Ovis aries: one gene and its partners. The protein of the gene in region 1 purifies or fractionates together with the protein of each later gene. This does not show direct contact. Links are inferred from orthologs where the notes say so. Each region holds a gene or a part of one and is shown in the gene's direction. Other genes may lie near its edges. The genes, in order: MAP4K4, STRN and RAP2C.

Region 1 (4,126 bases):
CTGGGAGACAATGAAGGATAGGGAAGCCTGGCACGATGCAGTCCATGGGGGTCACAAAGAGTCTCTCAGACTTGACTGAACAACAACTTCTCTTTCAGCTTCCTCAGCCCTAAAATGAGGTTAGCATCACCCTAGGGCCATAGGAGGGCTTCAGTAGACACTGTGTGTAAACTAAGTACTGGTAAATAATGATGCTGGCGAAGCCCGATCGCAAAGGCCTTGGAGTTTCATCCTGTGAGCCCCAGTTCTCAAACTTCCCGTCGCAGCAACTCAGCATCGCCTGTACAGAGAATGAGGCCTCTCAGGCCTACCCCACACTTGGTGGATCAAACTCTGGAGGTGGGGTAGGCGATCAGCGCCTTTGCAGTCCCTTTCGGTGATTCTTGGACCCTGCGGTGAGGGAATACGGAGCCATTAGGGTGTTTGGCCAGCGGAGTGACAGTGATGCAATGACTGTTTGCAGACCATTTATTCACGTTAAACAGGATGAAACTGTCTAACTGCTGACTGGCTTCCAAAGTTGCCGGAAGAAGCCTGTCCATCGCTCCTCAGCGATCTCTAGGCACAGAACTTGGGGCAAGACTCCTGGTCCTCGCCTCGTCCACAGTGAGGAACTCGGGGCAAGGCAGTGAACGGAGCGGTTCGGATTCAGTTTCCGCCTAAAGTCTCGGGACGCGTCGGCCGAGTGATGCTCGGCGAATCCCCAACTACAACGAGGTCACCGGTTCAGCCTGGAAAAGAAGAGAAAGGACCCGAGAAGCCGCTAGGGAAACCGGAAACGAGGGTCTTCAGGGGCAGACTCGGCGGTGGGGGACGCGAAGGGAAGAAGGGGGGCGCGGGGGCCGGGCGGACCCTCCAGCTCCGGGATCCCGGCGGGGCGGGGCGGGGCGCGGCGGGGCGGGGCTCCGCGGGGGCGGGGGTCGGCCCGCCCCTCCGCCCGAGGCAGGGAGGTGGGGGGTCCGGGCTGGCTTCCCTTTGTCCCGGGTGCGCCCCCCTCCGGCCCCGCGCGCGGTCGCCGCCCGGGCCCCACCCCGCGCCCCCCGCCCTGCCGCCTCCGGGCGCGAGCGCGCTTCCGCCCGCTTTTCCTGCCAGAGGAGGAAAGGGGGAGCTGTTCGCTCTCCTCCGAGTGCGATTTCGGTGTCCCGTGTCTCCTCCTCCCGCGCCGCCACCGCCCCCGCCCCCCGCTCATCTTTGTCTGGCGGCCTCGCGCTCTGGGCTCCACACTCGGCGGCGCCGCGGCCCCTGCTCCGGGCCGCTAGTGCAGGCGCGCGCGGGGCGCGGGGCCGGGGCCTGAGGCGCGGGCGACGCCCGGGGGCCTGCCGGCCGCCCCGGCCATGGAGTGAGCGCCGCCGCCGCCGCCGCCCACCCGCGCTCGCCCCGCCCGCCGCCCCCGGCCTCGCCCGCGGGCCCGCGCCGCCCGCCGGGCCTCCGACGCCCAGAAACACGCCGGAGACCTACTGATCGTGGCCGATCCGCGGAGGCAGAAAGGGAAGATGGCGAACGACTCCCCTGCCAAAAGTCTGGTGGACATCGACCTGTCCTCCCTGCGGGTGAGTGGCGGCCCAGGAGCACCCGGGCGCGGGGCGCGGGGCGCGCGGGGACCCGGGGCCGCGCCCTGGCCGCCCGGGCGCCGCCGCGGGAAGAACCGCGGGTACGGCGGCCCCTTTGTCTGCCCGCGTCGACGGGTGCGGGGGCCCCCGGGGCGCGACCCTTCGCCGGCGCCGCCGCCGCCCGGGACCCCCGGCCCCCGGATCGCGGCCCTTGGGCTCCCGCGACCCCACCGCACGAAGCCCACCGCCGGGGTCGCCGCCCTTTCTCTCCGGCTGTCCTGCTGCTTTATTCATTGTTGTGCTGCTTTCCGACGCTCACCCCTCCCCTCCTTCTCCTCCAGGATCCGGCGGGGATTTTCGAGCTGGTAGAAGTGGTGGGAAATGGCACCTACGGACAAGTCTATAAGGTCGGTGCGGGCGCCTCCTTTGTTTCCCGGGGACGGGTTGAAACTTCTGGTCCGGGGGCGCCGGGGGATGGACACGCCGCCGCCCGGAGGCCACGCCGCGCGGCTGAAGTTGGGAGAGGGGGCTTGCCTCGTCGTCCCGCTGTTTTTTAGCAGAGTTTATATTCACACTGGCCTGAAAAGACCTCATTTCCTGGCTCTCAGATAAGGAAATAACGCTCCACTCTCAGGCATGCACTTCCATAAAATGGAAAAGCGTTTTTTTTTTTTTTCCATCAGGCAGCCTACATGCCCCCCCCCCCCCCCCCCACCCCCGTTTTTCCCAGATCTGGCCTTCGGAGTTAGTGTGTTCATTAAAATTCAGAATAGGCAGGCCTCGCCTGTGATTATCCCAAAGCACTGCCTTGGCCTTGAGAATTGTCTTCGTGTTGCCTTGTTTGAATGTTCGCCGGGAGCCCAGGGAGCGGAGTTTGCTGATACCTGGTTCTGCTTTATCACCAGCATACGTTCTACCGATGGGCGCATATTTTGGGGAACAGGGGAGGGCTGTGTGTTTGGGTAGCAGGAGCAGGAAGAATTACAGGGTGAGGATTATACAGTCTGAATTCCAGGAATAACCTGTTTGACAGGTGTGTAATTGAAACAGAAATGAGACAGAGCTCAGGAGTGGCGAGGGTGCCCAGATTTCACACCAACCCCAGGTCTTTCTCTTTTTTTAACATGAGCCTCCCCCCCCCCCCCCCCCTCACCAACCCCCAGTCCCTTGAAACTAACAAATTCGGAGACTCTGAGTCGGCCCTGAGTAACAGACACCTGATGAGACTAAGCTTGTTGCTGGTTTTGTTCGGTGCACGTTGTGGAGATTACCCAGAGCTCTGGCTAATGGAGGCAGGGCCCTTGAATGTTTGAAACAGAATGTGAAATGCTCCGTGTTCTGATTTGTTTCTTGTTACTGAAGGTTCTCTTCAAGTTATCTGCACTGCACCGGGGGTGTTCCATAGCTGTTCCCTGTTTTCTAGTTGGATTGGGATAGGGAAAAAAAAAATCTTATGAAGCAGGGCTTTGTGGCTCGCTGTGAAGAATTGTCATTGTCTGGCGAAAAGTGGAGGAGGGGGGTGTTGGAAGCTGACTGTAGACGTTTTCTTCGGCCAAATTAAGTGTGGATCCCATTGTCCCTTTTTCTGCTCTGTGAATAGGGTTTATCTATCCACAGCCCCAACTTTCCCCCGATCCCGGCTGTGTACCGGCCTGTGGTCTGAACTGGACGGAGTCCGTCTTTTTAGGTGATCTCAAGTGAATCAGCATGTGTTCTGTTGGCTAACAGTTGGGGCCAGGGCCAGGTTTTTGAATTTGAAAGAGAGCCCTGTTAAGCTCGGCCTGCCGGGCTCAACTGAATTTGGAAGCTTTTGGAAAATTTTGGAAACGGTCATGTTGCAACTCCCTGAGTGGTCTGCTAACTGGCTCCAAAAAACTGTTCTCCCCAGCCTCAGTGTTTGTTTAAGCACTGGTTGGTTTTTCCTAACCGAGTTTTTCTGGCCAGGTCTGAGTGGTGACCGTCTTCGTCCAAGTGAGTTAGCCAGGGCTTGTATTTGACCTGCTTACACAGAAGTTGGATTGTTTGGGTCTTCAAGGGTCAGCACAAATGTGAAGGCTGGTGGAAGTAGACCAGAAGCTGTTTTTGTTTTTAAACTGTAAGAGAAAAAGAGAGTGAACCATGGATGTGTCTTCATGGGTTTAGGAGCTAGGTGTTCTTAACAGGAGCACCTGGGGCAGGTTCACTCCCAAGGTTTCCCCTGCTCCTTCCCTCTGGTTCCACACTCTCTCCCCCAAAGCTTTTGGGATCGATTTGCTAAGCACCAGGTTTGGGAAGCTGTTGGGATTGGGCAGTAACAGGCTCCCTGGCTCTCTCCTTACAAAGTACAGTTGAGAAGAAATGCTCAAATTATGCGAAGCCGAGGAAACTATAGGAAATCTGTTCAACAATGGCCTGCAGTCTGAAGCAGGAGCACGACGGGAGCTTTTGCTCGCCTGCAGTTGGTTTATTATTACGGAGAATTTGAAACAGACATCGGAGAGGAAGAGGCAAGCACTGGCCTCACAGTGACCAGCATGTGACTGATCTGGTTTTCTCTGCTGTCCTTCCTCCCACCTCCATTATCTTCACATAAAACC
Region 2 (3,644 bases), about 13 Mb from region 1:
AAACAATCAGTGACATTCCAGCTGTCACACCTAGACGTTCATCAGACAGCTCAACTGGATATTGCTAAAACCAAGTGAATCTTCATGTAGATCAGGTGTCTTTAACAGAGAAAGGTATTTCCTGGTTACAAACTGTGCCTTTTGTTCTTCAAGTTCTTTAGTTCACAGTGGGCATCATATTAGATGAGAGAATGTTGAGTATCTCATCATATATTCTTGACTGTAACTTTGAAATATATTGAAATTTCTTGCTGGTGGTAGCTTAGTAATAACACCTTCACAAGCAAGTAACAATAGTCTTTGTTTACCTTTGAACTTAAAACTTTGGAAATGAGGAGAGCTATCATATGCCTATTAAAAAAAAATCTGTAATACAATCCAGTTTCTGTTCTCAGTATGGCCAGCATAAGCCATGTAGAGTACTCATACACTCAGTGTTCTGAGTAGTGAATAATCTGTTCTGATGTTCAAATCTAATGTGGACAGTTTCTGCAGGTATTCAGGACAGACATGTTAATCTTTATGGAAATGCGAGGAAATTAAAGTACCTTTGATTGAAATTCTGTTCTGTATGGTTCTGTCCTACGCTGTTTTACCGTGAAGAATCTCATTTAATCTTGTAAATATTTGCTGTTATCCCTATTTTTATATTTTATATTAAACATAGAGGAATCTAAAGTTTCAAAAGATTAAATAATTTGCCTAAAGTTAGCCAATTAGATACAGAACTGGAAATTAAATCCAGAAATTTATGTCTTCAAAACCCTTCTGTTTTCTCTCCGAGTGAGGCTCTTTCTCCCTTTAATCAAATAGATTAGGACAGTGCTAAAAGTGCTGTAACAGTTACTAAAGAATTTTGTTTCTTGAAGCCACAGAAATATGTGATTGATGTTAGGTAGGCTTTATTGTGTCCTGGGGTTGAGAATTGTATATTACCATAGTGTTGATATTTCTAGGGGCGTTTTTATGACATACATTCAGTCATACTGTTTACTACTGACTTTTAGAATGATAAAAACATCCTCCTTTCTCTCTGATTTAGGAGCACGTCTCTTGATGTGGAGCCTATCTATACATTCAGAGCTCATAAGTAAGTGTGTGCTTTTTCTTTGTGTTAAATCAACATCATTGTAAATCAGCCTGATTAGTATATCTTCTTTCATGTATGTATTTGTCGTATGTGGTATTTTTATTGTATTTGGTAGCATTTTTTTTGTAAATGTAAAAGAAAGTGGCAGATAATGTAATGTTAGTGACAAGTATATCACTACCAAATAGGGATCCTTGCTGAAATTAGGTATTATTCGCATGATGTTTAGATGATGTATATATCTCTCTCTTAAAATGAAGTTGACGCAGTTAAGTTTAACTATTAGAAATCCTGATCTTTTTTTCCTTAAAGATAACCTGGTAAAAATACCTGAGACATTTAAAAAATCGTGGCCACATTTCATGCTTTTCCTGTTTCCATTTAAGTTTAAGAAATGTACCTGTTCACTCGATTGAGCACAGAGGTTGGCATACGTTTTATATTTAAAAAGGGTTAGATAGTAAATGCTTTTCAGGCTGCATATTTAATGTTGTATATTCTTGCTTTTAGTTTAGTTTTGTATTATAACATTTTAAAAAGGTAAAAACTGTAAGTGCTTTAGGATTGTACAAAACCAGTTCACTGGTTGGATTTGATCCACAGGCCATAGACCACTAACCACTGGTTTAGCAGAGGAAGAAAAATGAATAGTGCTTTGGTAAATTTTTTATTTGTTGTACAAAATAGAAAAAGAGAAAGCCATTTGAAAAACCAAGCATTCTTATTTCTAACTCATTGTAATACCAAATAGATTTTTTGAGGATGGAAATTGATTTTTTCTCCCAGAGGTCCAGTGCTTTGTGTGGTGATGAGCAGCAATGGTGAGCAGTGCTACAGTGGTGGTACTGATGGACTGATCCAGAGCTGGAACACCACTAACCCCAACATCGATCCCTATGACTCCTATGGTATGTGACTCCCCCAAAATATGAAGGAATCACATAGTTTCTTTTTATGCATTTTATATTGCATATCTATGGATAAAATGAGATGGTTTTGAAAATAAATTTATTTTGTTAAAAAGGGTTTCTATATTTGGGAATCAATTTGATATATATATATATAATATGCTAAAAAAAGAGGGAAAATAATGTATTTTTCCTGCAAAAAGAGTTCCCACCCCCAAGTCTTACTGATTGAAAATGCTGCCTTGATTGACAGTTGTTTTCTTCATTTGTAGGCATGTGTACAGTACTTGACACATTATTATTAATCTGTAGTCATACTTTGTCACTACTCTTGACAAATAATTTTGAAGGAAAATGAATGTTGGCATCATCGTCTTGATCAATTATTACAGAGTGTAGAGGCTAATGATTTTCAAAGTGTATAACACCAATATATTTAAAAGACTTTTAAAAATTAAAAAGTACCCTTTAGATTTGGAAACAGCACCATGAATCAAAAAACTGTAGGATATATCACTAGATATTATCATAAATTCTCTTTCAATTATTTTGATTTTCTCTTTAAATTCTCCATAAATTCTAGAATATGAAGTGTCATATTTGTCATAAAACCATAGTTTATTTTTATTACCATTTTAGATTAATTTCATCACTAAACCTAAGATAAGAAATTCAGTAACTAAAATATTCTCCCAACATTTATTTAGTAATCATTTAACGTATTTTGTGAAAGATAACACCCTCTCCTGCTGCAGTTCTTTTCTGGATTTCTCTGTTTCATACTTTTTGTCACTTCCTTTATCCCTCTTTCAGAGATTAGTTGATCTCATTCTGTCCCAAGCCAACTCTTTCCCTTTCGCTGTTGACCTCCTTCTCTTGTTTCCTTTGAGACTGCACTGTCTTTCTTTTTTGCTGCCTCTCTCTTTTGCACTCATCTGAAGCCTTACCCTTTTTGCTCTGTTTCCATCCCCTGAGCATATAGTAAATTCAAGTTTCTCCCATCCTGGGCAGGAAGAAGCCTTTTGTGACTCCATTTCCCTCTCTGGTTCTTTTTTTTTTTTTTTTAATTTTATTTAAATTGGAGGCTAATTACTTTATAATACTGTGGTAGGTTTTGCCATACATTGATATGAATCAGCCATTGGTGTACATGTGTCCCCCATGCTGAACCCACCTCCCTCCCCATCCCACCCCTCAGGGTCATCCCAGTGGGTGAGCATCCCCGCCCTGAGCACCCTGTGTCATGCATCGAACCTGGACTGGTGATCTGTTTCACATATGATAATATACATGTTTCAATGCTGTTCTCTCAAATCATCCCACCCTCGCCTTCTCCCACAGAGTCCAAAAGTCTATTCTATACATCTGTGTCTTTTTTGCTGTCTCTCATATAGGGTCATTATTACCATCTTTCTAGCCTCTCTTCCTTCCCATGTCTCTTTGGTCTGCTGCTTCTAAGTCGCTTCAGTCGTGTCCGACTCTGTGCGACCCCATAGACAGCAGCCCACTAGGCTCCCCCGTCCCTGGGATTCTCCAGGCAAGAACACTGGAGTGGGTTTCCATTTCCTTCTCCAAGGCACGAAAGTGAAAGTGAAGTCGCTCAGTCGTGTCTGACTCTCAGTGACCCCATGGACTGCAGCCTGCCA
Region 3 (4,284 bases), on another chromosome or scaffold:
AGTCTTTATATTCTCATTGCCTAATAAAAGTAAACTGGTGAACAACTGGAGTCTAATGAGATAATGTATGTGAAAATACTTTTCTAAGTATAGAGATGTTTGGAGAGGACAGGAGGAGCAGGAGGAGGCAGTTTAAATGGGGCAGGCCTGTCCACTGATCCCTAGACAGTTAGGATATTGGGTTTGGTTTGGTTTTGAGGAAAGGATGATCGACAAATTTTTTTCTCCCTTCAAATATTATGAAATTATATTTATTCCTTTTTTTCCCCAAGAATACCTTATTACTGTCTTAAAATTAAAATGACACACGGACATGAAAATCCTTTCACAATATCCTTCACTAGTAATTAATGACTTTCAGGTTTTAATGGCTATATAACTATATGTTGCACCACTCCCACATATTTTACACAAATGGGGGCAACTACATATTTGTCCCTGGTGGCTCAGTGGTAAAGAATCTGCCTGCAATGCAGAAAGCAAAGGAGACGCAGGTTCAATCCCTGGGTTGGGAAGATCCCCTGGAGGAGGGCATGACAACCCACTCCAGGATTCTTGCCTGGAGAATCCCATGGACAGAGGAGCCTGCTGGGCTACAAGTCCATAGAGTCTAAAAGAGTCAGACACAACAGAAGCAACTGAGCACACATGTATTTGTTCAGTATCTTGCTTTTCCTTCATCCTTACAATATATCTTGGCCATCTTTTCATATCAGCATTTACAAATATACCTTTCTCTTTTTAATAGCTGCACAGTATCCTATTTTTGAGTGTATACACACATTATTTTTTAAATCATCTATTGAAGGATGTTTAAGTTACTTCCAATTGTTTACTTTCCTAAACACTGTAATAAATACCCTTCCTAAGAAAGTTTAGAAGGATCTTCGGGCTATGTGACATCTGTCAACTCTGTAGTCGATGACAGTGACCCAAACAGACTCTGCACCGAAGGGAGAGGTATGTTTCATTGAGTAGAGAAACAAACAATTCTCTACAAAATACTGTAGCCAACAAGTTCAGAGATAGTAGAGTTGTCAACAGGTGAAGCCACCTTAGCAAGAGGGGCACCCTGTTTTGACAGTTTAGTAACAGCAGAGACTTGAGGCAATTACTCAGCACTGATTGTGAGATCAGAAGAGGAATTTCCCTGTCACAAGCAGGGCTGGGGCAGGGCTGTGGGTCCCCCAGACTGTCTGGAAACAGACAAGGATGGGCAGCAGAGCTCCAAATCAGGCAACAGCACGTGTGAAAAAAAAAGCAGTGACTTGTGAGGAAACTCATAATTCACAGACCAAATCTCTTCCAGCAGAGGGCAGTGCCTCAGATATCAGGCGGGACTCGGGCCAGCTGGAGCCAGAGCTGGAGACTTCGCGGGACAGATTACACCAGCTCTAGGCTGAGAAGAAACTGAACTGTCCTTTGGATACTGTAAGTGACACTGGGGAATACTGGAGAGACACATCAGGACTTCTCACTAATTTGCTTGTTTTCTAATATCTAACAATTGGGGCTTGGTATTATACAGTTGGGCCCTTAGGGCTTGCAAGGGGGATTTGAGGTCATTTTTAACTCCACTGGCTACTTACTCTTTCAGCTTTCTGTGTGCATGCCCGAGTCAAAAAGGGAGTGACATGCATAAAATATAACCTAGGCTTCTGACCCCGGGGCTCTGTGGATGTGACACAAAGTTTACAAATAGAAAGCAGAGGGAAAGATATGTAAGAAGTAACAATTTTATCTAAAAATAGAAACTTTGTGTGTTTAACCTTAGAGTCCTTTGAATTTCAAAGATTATGAAGCATGGTCATTAAAACAAAGTTTAACTTGGGAGAGCCAAGTTAAATTGCTGTGCCTTACAAGACAATGAAAAGAGTTAGTCTGCTGGCCTAAACAATTGCCAATCCACGCTTCCTCGCTGCGTAGCGGTTGGAATCAAAAAAGAGGCAAAACTGAGTTAGAGTACCTTAATAAAGTCTACTTCTAATCCTGCTGTTTTTCGAGCCTGGTGATAAAAAGGAAAGGAGCGACTCTGGCATTTGCTGGTGGAGACAAGGCAGATTTGCCAGGTGATAAAGTACCCTGTGTTGTGTGTGTGTTCAATTATTTGTCAGCACGGCTAAAGAAAACACACCACAGAGGAAATCAGAACCATTAGTGAAGTCGAAGGCTAGTTTGCACGCGTTCCTTCGAAAAATACCAAGTGGAAGGAAGACCAGCAAAGAGAATCCACTTTCTCGGCTGTTTTATTTTCTCTGCCGCTTCTAGTCCGGGGATGTTTGGCTTGTGCTCCGGGTCATCAGATCCGCCCCAGGCCGATCGAGTCTTCAGGCCGGACTGGGGGCCCTCTGAGACGCGGAGAGGCTTCCGCGAGGTCGGGGTGGGACTATCCACATCAGCAGCAGCAGAAACAGCAGCTGCGGGCGGCCGAGCGGAAAAAGGAGACTCCGGAGGTCCCGAGAGAGGCCCTTTGCCAAGGCCGTAGCCCAGACCCGAAACCGTCCCCGCTGTCTCGCCCAGCAGGGCGCGGCCCCAGCGCCACCCGGCTCGCCCCGGAGAGGTGGGACTTTCCCCACCGGAAGTGATCCTGTCCAGTCTCGGGGAACTGGGGCACCTCAACCAGTGTGTCAGGGAAACCCTTCCGGGTGTGTGCTGGGGGGGGGGGGGGGGGGGGGTGAGAAAAAAAAAGAGGTGGGTTCGCTTGGAGTCCCAGCGGCCGCCGCCGCCGCCGCCGCCGGACGGCCCCCGCCCCTTTCCCCTCTGCGAGCGGTAGCGCAGGGGAGGCGGTGAGACCGAGGAACCAGCCTCTCGCCATGGCCTTGGCGTGACAGAGTTTCCCGGGCGGCCGGGCGGGTGCGGACGGCAGGGTAAGCGGCGGCGGTGGCGGCCGGGTCCGGGTGGGAGCCGCAGGAGGCGGCCGGCCGGGCTGCCGGGCTGGGGCGGGGGTCAGGCTGGTAACGCGCGCCCTCTCCCCCCGCTTCACAGGCCGGACGACACCCGCGGCAGCCGCGGCCCAGAGACCCGCCCGGGCGACAGCGACTGGAGCGGAGCCCACAGGCCCGGGCCGGCTCGGCGGCGCGAGCAGGAAGCGGGGTCCCTGGGCCCCTTTGTGTGAAGGGCGAAGGAGGGGTGCGGGGCAGCCCCCGACCGCGGGCTCCTTGGACGCCTGTCTTCCCGCGGGGGTCCCCGTCGGTCCTGCGGCGTCCCCCCCTCCACTTCCCTTCGGGGGGCGCGTCTCGCCTCCCCCCGCCCTCCTCCGGGCTGCTCAGGGCTCGCCCTTTCCCCACGCCCCCTGCCTGGGCTTCAGTTCCTATAGGAAGGGCATTACCATCCCATCCCCACCCACCCCGACACTTCGCTCTTTCCCCTCCCCCTCCTTTAACTTCCTCTTCTTCCCCCGTCCGGCCCTCGGCTCCTCTGCACTCTCCTCCCGGGTTCGCAGATTTCCGCCCACCTTCCGCCTCTCCGAGCAGCGCCGCAGCGAGCGGGGTGTTATTTTTCCCTCCCTTTGGTAGGAGTTGGTGAAGGTGAGACTCAATGAGGGAATACAAGGTAGTGGTGTTAGGGAGCGGAGGGGTTGGCAAATCCGCCCTGACTGTGCAGTTTGTCACTGGGACTTTCATTGAGAAATATGACCCCACCATTGAAGATTTCTACCGCAAAGAGATCGAAGTGGACTCTTCCCCCTCCGTGCTGGAAATTCTGGACACCGCAGGAACTGAGCAGTTTGCTTCCATGAGAGATCTCTACATCAAAAACGGCCAAGGTTTCATCCTGGTTTACAGTCTGGTTAATCAACAGTCTTTTCAGGTAACCAAACCAAGTCTTATAATTTGTAAGAAGGGGGTGTGGTAATCCAACATTTACTTCTGGTTTGCTTGCACCGTGCGTAAATGACTGTTTTGCTTTTGAAAGTTAGACATGGCGCATTTTTGAGGTTACTCCTGGCACGGAAAAGTACCCAGTTGTTTCTGTAGAGAGGACTAAAGTCGCAACCGTCAACAAATGTTTTAAAGTTATTTTTAAGTGAAAGAGAAGTGAAAAAAGAAATGTCAGCTTGTGTATGTTTAGCCTGGACTATAGCCTTCTGAAGTTGCTTGTTCAACTCCACAAGCCTTCGTTAAGGTACTCAAGCAAACAACATTTAAAAGATAATCTCAGGCAAATAGAGCACTTTGTAAGGAAAATTATTTGGAGACGATTATCTGTTCCACAGATAAATTCCTCTGCGTCTGCTTCGCCCTCCCCCTTTTTGTTCTCACCCAAGTCTCTCAACCAGATTTC

The links.
Region 2: the proteins of MAP4K4 (region 1) and STRN purify together in Homo sapiens (affinity purification with mass spectrometry; 4 studies listed by BioGRID and IntAct, with this or other methods). This does not show direct contact. The link is inferred for Ovis aries from reciprocal best matches to the Homo sapiens genes MAP4K4 and STRN.
Region 3: the proteins of MAP4K4 (region 1) and RAP2C purify together in Homo sapiens (affinity purification with mass spectrometry; 3 studies listed by BioGRID and IntAct, counting the BioPlex papers as one, with this or other methods). This does not show direct contact. The link is inferred for Ovis aries from reciprocal best matches to the Homo sapiens genes MAP4K4 and RAP2C.

Annotation. Positions count from the first base shown.
Region 1 is NC_056056.1:99,985,616-99,989,741, reverse strand, and holds the start of MAP4K4 (mitogen-activated protein kinase kinase kinase kinase 4), read left to right. Parts: upstream 1-1,220; 5' UTR 1,221-1,493; coding exon 1,494-1,550; intron 1,551-1,869; exon of another isoform or gene 1,870-1,891; coding exon 1,892-1,957; exon of another isoform or gene 1,958-4,126.
Region 2 is NC_056056.1:87,166,350-87,169,993, forward strand, and holds part of STRN (striatin), read left to right. Parts: intron 1-1,042; coding exon 1,043-1,090; intron 1,091-1,876; coding exon 1,877-1,998; intron 1,999-3,644. UniProt on the Homo sapiens protein: Calmodulin-binding scaffolding protein which is the center of the striatin-interacting phosphatase and kinase (STRIPAK) complexes.
Region 3 is NC_056080.1:102,670,291-102,674,574, forward strand, and holds the start of RAP2C (ras-related protein Rap-2c), read left to right. Parts: upstream 1-1,358; 5' UTR 1,359-2,645; intron 2,646-2,762; exon of another isoform or gene 2,763-2,867; intron 2,868-2,985; 5' UTR 2,986-3,537; coding exon 3,538-3,810; intron 3,811-4,284. UniProt on the Homo sapiens protein: Small GTP-binding protein which cycles between a GDP-bound inactive and a GTP-bound active form. May play a role in cytoskeletal rearrangements and regulate cell spreading through activation of the effector TNIK.